Linked DNA regions of Sus scrofa. The protein of the gene in region 1 binds, or shares a complex with, the protein of each later gene. Links are inferred from orthologs where the notes say so. Each region holds a gene or a part of one and is shown on either strand. Other genes may lie near its edges.

Region 1 (3,745 bases):
CCCTTGTCTGGGAACTTCCATATGCCTCAGGTGCAGCCCTAAAAATAAATAAATAAATAAATAAAAATCATGATCAGCAATTCAATTCAAGTGTGATAATCAGAGATATGAAAGGTAATGGGAAAAAAAAAAAGCTAAGAGAAAAGCAACTGCCTCTGGAAAAGGGTGAAGAGAAGAAAGAGGGTATGAATGCCAGTTTTTCCCTTAACATATTTTCTAAAGCAAATTGATTATCACTTTCACTTTATTTTTTACTTAAAAATTGACGTATAGGAGTTCCTGATGTGGCACAGTGGAAACGAATCCAATTAGGAACCATGAGGTTGCAGGTTCGATCCCTAGCCTCGCTCAGTGGGTTAAGGATCTGGTGTTGCCAGGAAATGTGCTGTAGGTTGCAGACCCAGCTCAGATCTGGCCTTGCTGTGGCTGTGGTGTAGGCCGGCAGCTATAGTTCCTATTAGACCCCTAGCCTGGGAACCTCCATATACCATGGGTACAGCCCTATAAAGCAAAAAAAAAAAAACAAAAAAAAAAAAAAACAAAAAAAAAAAACCACCCAACCAACCAACCAAAAAAACCCCAAAAAACCCAAAAATTGAAGTATAGTTCATTTACAATGTTGTGTTATTGTAAATTGACTATTGATGTGTATATATAATATGGACAACAATTTTAAGTTAAAAGTTCAAAAAAGATCTTGGGAGGAGGGGCAGTGGAGGGGCAGTGTAGGAGTCTGGCTGGGGGAAAAGCACGTGGATGGGGCGGGAAGAGCGAGGCATGGAGATTAAACCAGGGAGGAAAGAAAGTAGTTGAAGATGATGGTGTTGGAAGGAAACTCTGAGGGAGTTCCCCCTGTGGCTCAGCTATTAATGAACCCAACTAGCATCCATGAGGATGGGGGTTCAACCCCAGGCCTCGCTCAGTGGGTTAAGGATCCGGCGTTGTCATGAGCTGTGGTGTAGGTTGCACACGTGGCTTGGATCCTGTATTGGTGTGGCTGTCGTATAGGCCAGCAGCTACAGCTCCGATTGGACCCCTAGCCTGGGAACCTCCATATGTCACAGGTGTGGTCCTAAAAATAAAAAAAAGAAAAAAAGGAAGGAAAGTCCAAAAAGCGAAGTGGAGTGATTGATGGCAGTGGCTTGATGAGAGAGGTGAATGGTAAATGGTGGGACCCAGAGCTAAACTAGGGGCTGGATGAGGCACTTACCGGGGCCTCAGACATGAGCACTGGGTGCAGGTTTGGCTCGGACTTGACGTGTTTGCTGTAGGTGTGATCCAGGATCGCACGGAAGCACTCCCAGTCCTCGACTGGGGCCAGGAGACCAGGGGAGAGATGAAGGTGGGCAGGCGGGTGTCCAGGGACAGGAAGGAAAGGAAGGAGGGAGGCCAAGGCCAATGGAGGAGAGGTGAGACAAGCTCCCGTAGAAATTCCCCCTCCCCAGGAATCTGGTGGCCCCTGGTTAGGAACCAGGCAGCTGTGCAAAGTAGTGAGGGCATCCCTGGGACTTGGGCAGCTGCAAGGAAGACTCCTTGGGTGTGGAGTGCTGTGCCCTGGGGTGAGGGGGGGTGGGCTCCCAGTCTGTGTTAGGAGGCAGTGGGTGCGAGCCCCTTACTCATGCCATTCTTGAGGGGGGACATAACTTCTGCTCCATCCCGAGGCACGTGGAGGGCGTTGGTATCAATGTGAAAGATCTTCCCTTTCTTCTCTTTCTCCCCCTCCAACTCCAGCCCACCCCCCTCCTCTGCGGCCAGCAGCCCCACAGTGGTGGGGAAGTCAGCCTGGAGGGGGGCAAATACAGAGGAAAAATCAATCTCTTGCACCTACCCAGGCCCTTGGCAGGGCTCTCAGCCCATCCCTGGGCTTACTGCCAAATTCCAGCTCAGCAGAGCTTCTTTCTTGGCCTTGAGACCCTAGATCACTGAGAAGCCTGGGGGTGGGGGGCAGGATTTGGGGAGGGGGCTGGAAGGCTCACCTTGGGGCAGTCCTCCCCAGCATACCCAGCGCGGACTGAGAAGGAGCCAATGTCAAAGACCAGCGCGCCCACCTCATCTGTGCGGAGAGACAGACCTGTGAGGGGACCTGTCCCAAACTCTCTCCCCTTGGATTGCTCCGAGAGGAGGTCAGGGCAGAGCCACAGTCTCACCACCTTCAACGTCGGACGGGGCAGGTGGGAGCTCGGCCAGGAGTTCGGGGTCTTGGGAGTGGGGGTCAAGATTCCAAAGTCCCTTTTGACCCGTGGCCCGTGTGCAGGCCACTCTCCTTGCCAGGCTGGGGGCCGGGTGGAGGTGGGTTGAATGATGGAGAGGTTGGGCCGAGTGCGTGCGAGCGTCTGGGAAGGGTCTTAGGTTGGAGCGGTGCAGGACCCAAACCCCGGGTTGGACCCGCTGTAGCGCCGAGTGACAGGCCCCAGAGTGTCCAGAGCTTGGATCGCGCGGGTTCGGGGCGCTGGGCTTCGGGTGAGGCCGCGCCGGGCTGGGGAGCCCGAAGCCCGAGGCTCGCTCACCTCCGCCATAGACGCCCCCGCTCATAGTGCCCTCTCAGCGCTGCTCGCGGCCCGTGGGCGGCGGCGGCGGGATCAGCACCGAGGTGGCCGGACAGCTCCCGGAATCCCGGGAGGGGCGGGGCTCAGAGCGGCCTATCGGGAGGCCGGGTCCCCCGCCCCCAACGGCGCCGCCGATTGGCTGAGAGGGGAGACAATAACTCGACCGGGGGCTGCTGCTTTAAAGGGCCAGACACCTCAACATTAGGCGTCAGGGAGGGAATTAACGGGATCAAGGACCTCGAGGCCCGCCCTAAGGGATAGGCAGGCAAGAAGCAGGAGTAGGCAAGAGATGGAAACCTTGTCCATCCGGAGATCAGGACTCTGTATGGTGACCGACAGGGCTTCTGCTTCCTTATTTTAAAATGGGGTCGAGGAGAGGGCGCCATAGTCTCGCAGACTCGTCCATTCTCAGGCTCCTGAGCAAGGTTCTGCCATACCCTGAACTAAATGAAATCACCAGGAAAGTGGGGTAGGGAAGGAGGAGAGGTAAGGAAACAGGTGTGTCTCGATTTTCTCCCTGTTTCTTTCCACCCTTGTCCTTCTGATGACTCCTCTTTTCCTGCTCATCCCCTAGTGCCTACACCTTATACATACACACGTGTACACACATGTACACGTATTCATACATGGCACTCAGCTAACCTAGCTTTTGCTTCCTTTCCTTTTCGCTCTCTTTATCTATTCCTTTCTGGAGCTATTTATCAAGCAAGCAGGTTTTGTACCAGAGGCTCCTAGGTTTTTCTGGGCATCGCCTGAGGCCACTTGGGGGGGGGAGGGGGTGGGCGGGGTTTGCTTTTTTTTTTTTTTTTGCCATTCCTTGGGCCGCTCCCGCGGCGTATGGAGGTTCCCAGGCTAGGGGTCTAATTGGAGCTGGAGCCATCGGCCTACGCCAGAGCCACAGCAACGTGGCATCCAAGCCGCGTCTGCAACCTACACCACAGCTCACGGCAACGCCAGATCATTAACCCACTGAGCAGGGCCAGGGACGAACCCGCAACCTCGTGGTTCCTAGTCGGATTCGTTAACTACTGCGCCACGACGGGAACTCCGTTATTTTTCGTTTTTTGTTTTGTTTTTTTTTTTTTAGGACCACACCCCGAGGCAAAAGGAAGTTCCCAGGCTAGGGATTAAATCTGAGCTGCAGCTGCCGGCCTACACCACCACAGCCACAGCAACACCAGATCTGAGCCATGTCTTCC
Region 2 (3,745 bases), on another chromosome or scaffold:
AGGAGATGGGGAGAAGCCCACACAAGCAGAGGCTCAGTGCCTTCCTCAAGGTCTTGCTCCTGGTAGCCTGGGCTACCCAGCCAGCCAGCTCAGCCCTGCCACTTGCCCGAGGCCACCTGCTCAGGGGTTTTCCCCAGGCCACATTCCCCATGGGCTGCAGGTTGAGGAAAAGTGGAGGGGCTCCTATCTGCCCTTTAGATCCCTCCCAGGCCAACAGCCCAAAGGGAGGCACCTCAGCTAACTGGCCCAAGGGCCAGAATGACAGATGCAGGGACCCCTCCGTGACACCTTGGGCCAAGGGGGAGAGCAAGATGGGAAAGATGAATCCCAGCTGGAGCCGCTGGGACCAGGTCTGTCTCTATCAATACCCAGGCCCTAGGTTTTCTTTAGAGGGTGGAGGGAGAATGAGAAGTTAGAGGGAAAAATCACTGTCCCCAGTTAAGCATCTCTTTACAAAGTGAAGGCCCAGGGGTCCTGGGAGGATGTGTACCCTACTCTATGAGGATCCATTTGGGGGACCTCTACTGGAGACACGAGAATCTCCTAGCTTCCCTGAGAGATTAGCAAGAAGCCAGTGTCAAGTGCTGGGATACATGGATTGGGATACAGATGGCGTTGTGAGAACCTAAAAGGCTAATTAAAAGTGGGGATGGAGTTCCCGTTGTGGTGCACTGGAAGCGAATCCGAGTAGGAACCATGAGGTTGCAGGTTCAATCCCTGGCCTCACTCAGTGGGTTAAGGATCTGGCATTGCCATGAGTTGTGGTGTAGGTGGCAGACATGGTTCGGATCTGGCGTTGCTGCGGCTCTGATGTAGGCTGGCAGCTGCAGCTCTGCTTCGACCCCTAGCCTGGGAACCTCCATATGCCGCGGGTGCAGGCCTAAAAAGACAAAAGACAAAAAAAAAAAAAGTGGACAGAGGGTAGGAAAAGAATGGGCACAATTCCTAAGCATTCTGGGGCAACCAGAAACAATGAACTTGGGGGCTGGTAAGCCCCAACCCCAGGGTCAGGCTGAGTTCCTCACACACTGACCCCAAGAATGGAGTCTCTGCATCTCCATGGCCTTTGAAGCTGCAACCCAAGAAGCCCTCTGCAAAGCCAAGCACCAAAGAGGTAAGGACAGAACCCTTTGAAGCAACTCTCACAGGCTCCTCCAGCCCCAGACCAGCAAGGCTCACTGGAGCCTCTATGCTCCCCCAGACTAATCAACTCCTGGACACTGTGACACCAGGCAGAAAGCCAAAGAGAGTCTGTCCAGAATGGGCTGGGTTTCCCTCCTTTCTCAGGCCTAGCCACCACCCTCTCTGGTCTAACCCAGAGTCACCCCTGTGTGAAGGCCCCTGCGCATGACCCAGGAGTAGACTCCCCCTGCACAGGCTGGAATCGCTGGTCCTATCCTCCACCTCCTGTCGGTGGGAAGCCAGGCCCTTCTTCCTCCTCAGCAGCTGGGAGCCATCTCAGACACGCTAAAACTCTGCCAGTTCCCAACTAGAGAAAAAAGAGCAGCCTTGGAGTAGGACCAAGACCAATGTAGGGTAACCCTGGTTTCTCAGTGAGGGCCCTTTTCCAAAACTTTCTCATCACTTCCCAGGACCCCATTGCGGAGAATCTACACTAGACTTCTCAAGCCACCCGCCTACAATTCACTAGCTCCAACAACTCCTCCATCTCTCAGTTACTCAGAACCCCTGTTCCAAGACCTCACACCCTCCCAACAGCTTCAAACCCTTCACCCGAGAGTCGCTCTTACCTTCTCCCCTAACTCCTCCGCAACCACCTAGCCGAGCCCCAGAGTCCCTGGCTTTGCCCCGCACAGTGCCCCGTGAACTCCGCATGCAGAGCCCCTGTGCCCTCTGTCAGGAAGGCTGCTCCAGGACCCTCACTCGAGGCCTCTTTCGCCCCCTACCCGAGTGTGCTCGCGGCGCCGCCCGCCCCTCAGCCCTCCTCACCTGGTACTGTGCTGCGGGGCCCGCGGGGCCCATGGGGCGGAAGGCGGCGGCCCCCGGGCCCCCCACGCCTCCAGCCGGCCCCGGCCCCCTTAGCGCCGGTCCGGGCAGCATGCCGGGTCCCGCTGGCGGAGGCGGTGCTCCCAGGGCCGCGGCAACCGCGCCGCCGCCAGGGCTCAGCGGGGGCAACGGGAACCCGCCCGCGCCACGGCCCGACATCGCTCCGTCCCGTCCCGCGGTGTCTCAATCCGGGCTCCGGGCTCCGCGCTGAGTTCGCTCCGCGCTCCGCGGTCCGGGACTTTCCGATCTAAATTCCGGGTTCTGGGGTTTGTTGATCCGGGTTCCGGGATTTCCTAATCCAAGTTCGCGAGTTCCTCACAAACCCAGTTTGGGGCCGGGCCGGTCTTGATTCCGGTCCTGCCCGGGAAATTCCGGATCCGGGATCCGCTACGGGCCCGCTAGCCTTCGCCGGTCTCTGGAGGTTTCAACGCCAGCGTCCAGTTACCCAGAAGCTGCAGTTAACTCCCTCCCCCGCCTAACCCAGCCCAGCGCTAGGCCCCGCCTATACCCAGCTGGCCAATGCGAGGATGCCCCCTCAAATACCGCCCTCGCGAGACCCGCCCCCCTACAGGCACCGCCTCTAACCGCCGGTCCCCGGAGCCCCGCCCATACCCTTGGGCCGGCCCTCCACTGGAGGGGAGGGGGCGGAAGCAACTCAAGAAATGCAGAAGGTCAGAGGTCGAAGGTCACTAGCACTACTGTAGTAAACGGGTAGTTGCTGCTCTCTTCCCCCCTTGCGGCTGGTTCGCCGAGGTACCCAGCCTCGGTCCCTGAAAATAGTTGTCAGAGCTCCTTTCTACGTTTTAACATTACAGACAACTTAAAGCTGCTTTCTGCGGCAGAACAGCCGCCAGCGTGACTCTAAAAGCCCATCCTAGTGGCTCAGAGCTGTCAAGAGACTTGGCTGCTCCAGACCCTATGCAGCTGTGCGAAGAGTGGACTTGGCCAAGCGCCAAGTTTTTATCGCATATTTCGAACGTGCCTCTGCCTCACTTTAAGGAATTCTAATACTTTACTCCAGAGGAAATGTTTCTAGGAGAAGGAAGTTTGCATTATGAGAAACCCCTAAGTTAAATAAGGTCTTTCTCCAGGATTTAAAGCACTATTCAAAAACTTAATACCTTTTCGGAAATCAGATCTGTGTTAGCAGGTATGCAAAATAAAGCTGCTTCAGCTGTGCCAGGGAGCCCCTCTGACATTCTGGGATTTTTTTTCCCCATGATACAGACCAGTGCTTCTTTAAGGAGCATAAGAAACATCTGAGGCTTTTGTTAAAAATGCAGATTAAGTTTCAGTAGGCCTGGGTTCTAGGGTAGGCTCAAGATTCTGCATTCCTAACAAGCTCCTGAGCAATGCTGTTGTTACTCAGACTACACTTTTTAAGTATCCAAGATAGACTTTTTTACCATACAAATCCTCTCCTTTGTTTTCATCCCCAACCAAGACTTGCCCCACAGCGTTCCACATTTATAGAGCAACCATTTTTAGTCAGTTTTGCTCATCTGTACTTCCTGGTATCTTTCCTCCAGTGATAAACCCTGCTTTTGCTGCTGCTTTCCTGCCTCTTGGTCTTCTCAGGGATCCCTCTCCTCTTTCTCCCTAAAAGTGGGTTACCTGTCAGTCTGAGAAGACCACTAGAATTGTTCCAGTCATTGAACCAGGGCCCCTCTCTCCGGCTTGTAAAGTGGGTAAAGAATTCATGACAAAGCGTTTATGTCCATTTCAACCCTTTCAAGCT
Region 3 (3,233 bases), on another chromosome or scaffold:
TCCCTCTCCAGATCTATTTCTTCCCTGCCCTGCTCTTTTCCTGATTCTCTGTAAACGTGTGACTCTCACATCTGTCTCTCCTGACCGCTCTGTGTCCTGGTTCTCACTCCTCACCCCACCTCACCCAAATCTTTTTTTCTCCTAATGTCCCTGGATCTGTCTTTCTCTCCTTTGCCCCTTCCCCTCTCCTCTTTGCCACACGTCAGGCTCAGGGGCGCCAGGCCATGAGTGGGCCGAGGCCGTGGCGCTCCTGGCACCCCTGCCCTGTGCCAAGCCCCAGGAGGGGAGGAGCGGGGCCGGGCTCAGTCTTCATCTTTCCATCCCTTCCCTTCCCCCAGTCCCCGGCTTCCCGCCTCCCTCCTCGCTGCTTCCCACTGCAGCTGCAGCAGTCCGTTGCCAGGGCAACCACAGCTGGCTGGGTGGGAGCCCCCTCCACCCCATCCCCCCCTCTTTTCCTTTCCGACCAGGCAGGGAGGAGCGGGACAAAGCCAGAGAAAGGCGGGGTGCAGAGGGGAGCCAGAGGTAGGGGCCAGCTCCAGCTGTTAACCTCAGTTGCTTCTCCCCCAGTGAGGCCCCACCTCCAGTTTTGGTGACGCCCCAAACCGGCCTGGAGGACGAGGCAGACGTGGGCAGAGGGGTCAGGCCCAGTTTAATACACAGAACAAGTTAATTCACAGCAGAGGCAGGCAATAAAGGAGACTCGTTTACAAGGAGGGGGCACGCCTGGATTGGAGGAGACCCCCCCAAACCCATCACCTCCCCCACTTGCAGTCTCATTTTCCCTTTTTTTTAAAACCCAAACAACAAACACAACCACAAGAAACAACCACGCCCCCTCGAGACCCCGAAAATGGCCAGCGAGGGTGGCAGGGGGCGGCCCGGCCTGGCCGGTAGGGAATTGGGGCGGGGAAAAATCTAGTCCTTTGCAGAGTCTGTGCTTCTCGTTCCAGCAGGCGCTGGGCAGGGGCCCGCCTTGCCCCACCGGCGGCCAGCCATGGCAGCACGGAGTGGGCACGGGCCGGGCTCTGGGGAGGGAGCGGGAACAGAGCTCAAAACCATGGTTCACATCATGCAGTATCCACGGTGGGCACCAAGGGGGTGGGGGGCCAACACCACACCACCTGCCCTGCGTACAAGGAGGGAATGGTGCCCACCTTGGGTGGGGAGGTGGGACAGCTGCAGTGCCGCAGACTGGGAGGGAGGGGCCGCCAGGCAGGAAGCTGGCATAGACTGGTGCCCAGGAGATGCGCTCGGCAACCCCCCTCCACCCAGCCAGGCCTTATAGGACTCTTTGTATATATTAATTTCTTTTTTTTTTTTAACTTTTTGACTTTTTCTTTAGAAAAAGGCTATGTCCGTGCCCCCAGCTGGCATCCACCACCCCTCGTGCCCGCCCAGAGGCGGGGTATGGCTTTGAGGGGAGCAGAAGCCCCTGGTGCCCATTTGCCAAGGGGTGGGGAAGGAGGGAGGAAGGAGAGGGCCCAGCTGGGCCCACCAACCCACAGGGCAAGCATTCCACTTGCACGGAGGGGAGGGGGTGGCCCCGCCCCCCTCAGGCTCGCCCGCCCCTCCCGCTGTGGGGCATTAAGGATGGGGAGAGAGTGGAGGAGCTCCGGGAGGAGACTCAGGTAGGCAAGCACCACCCCAGAGGTCCAGGTGAGCCAGAGCAGGCCTAGGTGAGGGTGATGTAGGCAGAGGCCTTCTCTTTCAGGTGCCGAAGACAGAGGTGACAACTCCAGCTCCCTGTAGGGTGGCCCGAGGACAGGGAGTAAGACCTGGGTCTGGGCACGGCTGCCCCCACCCCCGCCCACCACCGGCGGGCACCATCTTCCCCAGCAGGAAGTCCACCTGCCAACCCTCCCCCACCCCCCCAGGCCTCCTCTTCGCTCACCTTCTGGGGGCTCCGCCATGGGGGGACTCAGGCAGTACATGTGGTAACCCCGATCACAGTCGTCACAAAACAGCAGCTGGTCCTGGGGGGTGAGACCCGCCCAGCTGGCACCCTGGGGGCACGGGTACCAGAAACCGGGGTGGGGGGGCTGGGGCAGGGGACAGGTCAAAGGGGCTGGGGGAGGTGGTCCCTTCCAGGACAGAGGGCTCTGAGGAGGTCATCTTGGCAAAACCCTGTGAGTGAAACGCCCCTGAGGACTGTCAGTTTGCGGTTTGTCGTTTGGGTTTTCTAAGGTTCTATGGCACACTGAAAATGACACTGGGGCGGTCAGAAGCAATGGATGCGGTGTCAGGTCCCAGCTGTGCCATCTTCTTAGCCGGGTGACCTTGGGCAAGTCTGCTCCCCTCTCTGAGCTCCCTCCCTCTACCTCAGGGTGGTTGGGAGGAGTCGGAGAGTGAAGAGTAGTAAGTGCCAGGCTCAACTAATGGACACTAACTAATAATCATGGTACAGGTTACTGGGTTCACCAGGGAGGGGGCTTCAGGAAAGGCTTTAGACCCAACTGGCAAAGCCGGAGGTGCTGGAGGGAGGCGGCTCCGGGGGCGTGTCCCGGGGAGGGGGGTGGGCACTCACGTCGTTCTCGGAGGTGCCACACAGGCTGCAGGACTTGCACTCGATGCACTGCCAACGGTAGGTTCGCACGGCCGCCGTCATGTTCACCGTGAACTGTAAACACGAGGGGTGTCCTGGGGGCCGAGGGGCAGAGATGCGGTTAGGGGTCGTTGTGCCCCTGGTGGCTACTGACCCCTGGAAGTGAAATGGCTCAGCCCCTACCCCTGGCTCACAAGGCCCACAGGCTGACCCCACCCAGCCCCGGTGCCCAGTGCCCGTCCCTCAGGCAGTGCTGCCGTGGCCACCAGTCTCCTACCCAGCCACCATGGCAACCACACTCTGCTCCCCAGAACACCATGGCAACCGCATTCCATTACCCACAGTGCTGTGGCAACCCCTTTCCACCACCCACAACACCGGGGCAGCCACATTCTGTTAACCACTGCGCTGAGCAGCTGCATTCCATTACCCACAGCAGGATGGCCAGCCCGCCCTGTGAACCGCGGGCACGTGGCAACCCCAGCCTCCCAGCCACGATGCCATGGCAACCGCCTTCCACAGAGGGGTCTCCACGCTCTGGTTCCCTGCGACCCAAGCCCATTACACATGATGCCCCAACCACCACACCGTTACCCACGTGACTATGCAGTGGGCCAACCCCCTGGCCATCCCCCCACCCCCGTGCAGACACCCAGCCGCTACCCGGGGCCACGACAACTACCTTCCACTA

The links.
Region 2: ACTL6B (region 1) and SMARCD2 share a complex: the UniProt entries of both Homo sapiens proteins name them as parts of the BAF complex. The link is inferred for Sus scrofa from reciprocal best matches to the Homo sapiens genes ACTL6B and SMARCD2.
Region 3: ACTL6B (region 1) and DPF1 share a complex: the UniProt entries of both Homo sapiens proteins name them as parts of the neuron-specific chromatin remodeling complex. The link is inferred for Sus scrofa from reciprocal best matches to the Homo sapiens genes ACTL6B and DPF1.

The regions. Positions count from the first base shown.
Region 1 is NC_010445.4:8,566,138-8,569,882, forward strand, and holds the start of ACTL6B (actin-like protein 6B), read right to left. Parts: upstream 2,638-3,745; 5' UTR 2,533-2,637; coding exon 2,508-2,532; intron 2,054-2,507; coding exon 1,977-2,053; intron 1,783-1,976; coding exon 1,617-1,782; intron 1,312-1,616; coding exon 1,211-1,311; intron 1-1,210. UniProt on the Homo sapiens protein: Involved in transcriptional activation and repression of select genes by chromatin remodeling (alteration of DNA-nucleosome topology).
Region 2 is NC_010454.4:15,090,423-15,094,167, reverse strand, and holds the start of SMARCD2 (SWI/SNF-related matrix-associated actin-dependent regulator of chromatin subfamily D member 2), read right to left. Parts: upstream 2,243-3,745; 5' UTR 2,167-2,242; coding exon 1,951-2,166; intron 1-1,950. UniProt on the Homo sapiens protein: Involved in transcriptional activation and repression of select genes by chromatin remodeling (alteration of DNA-nucleosome topology).
Region 3 is NC_010448.4:47,141,380-47,144,612, forward strand, and holds the end of DPF1 (zinc finger protein neuro-d4), read right to left. Parts: intron 2,638-3,233; coding exon 2,525-2,637; intron 2,004-2,524; coding exon 1,892-2,003; intron 1,744-1,891; coding exon 1,673-1,743; 3' UTR 627-1,672; downstream 1-626. UniProt on the Homo sapiens protein: May have an important role in developing neurons by participating in regulation of cell survival, possibly as a neurospecific transcription factor. Belongs to the neuron-specific chromatin remodeling complex (nBAF complex).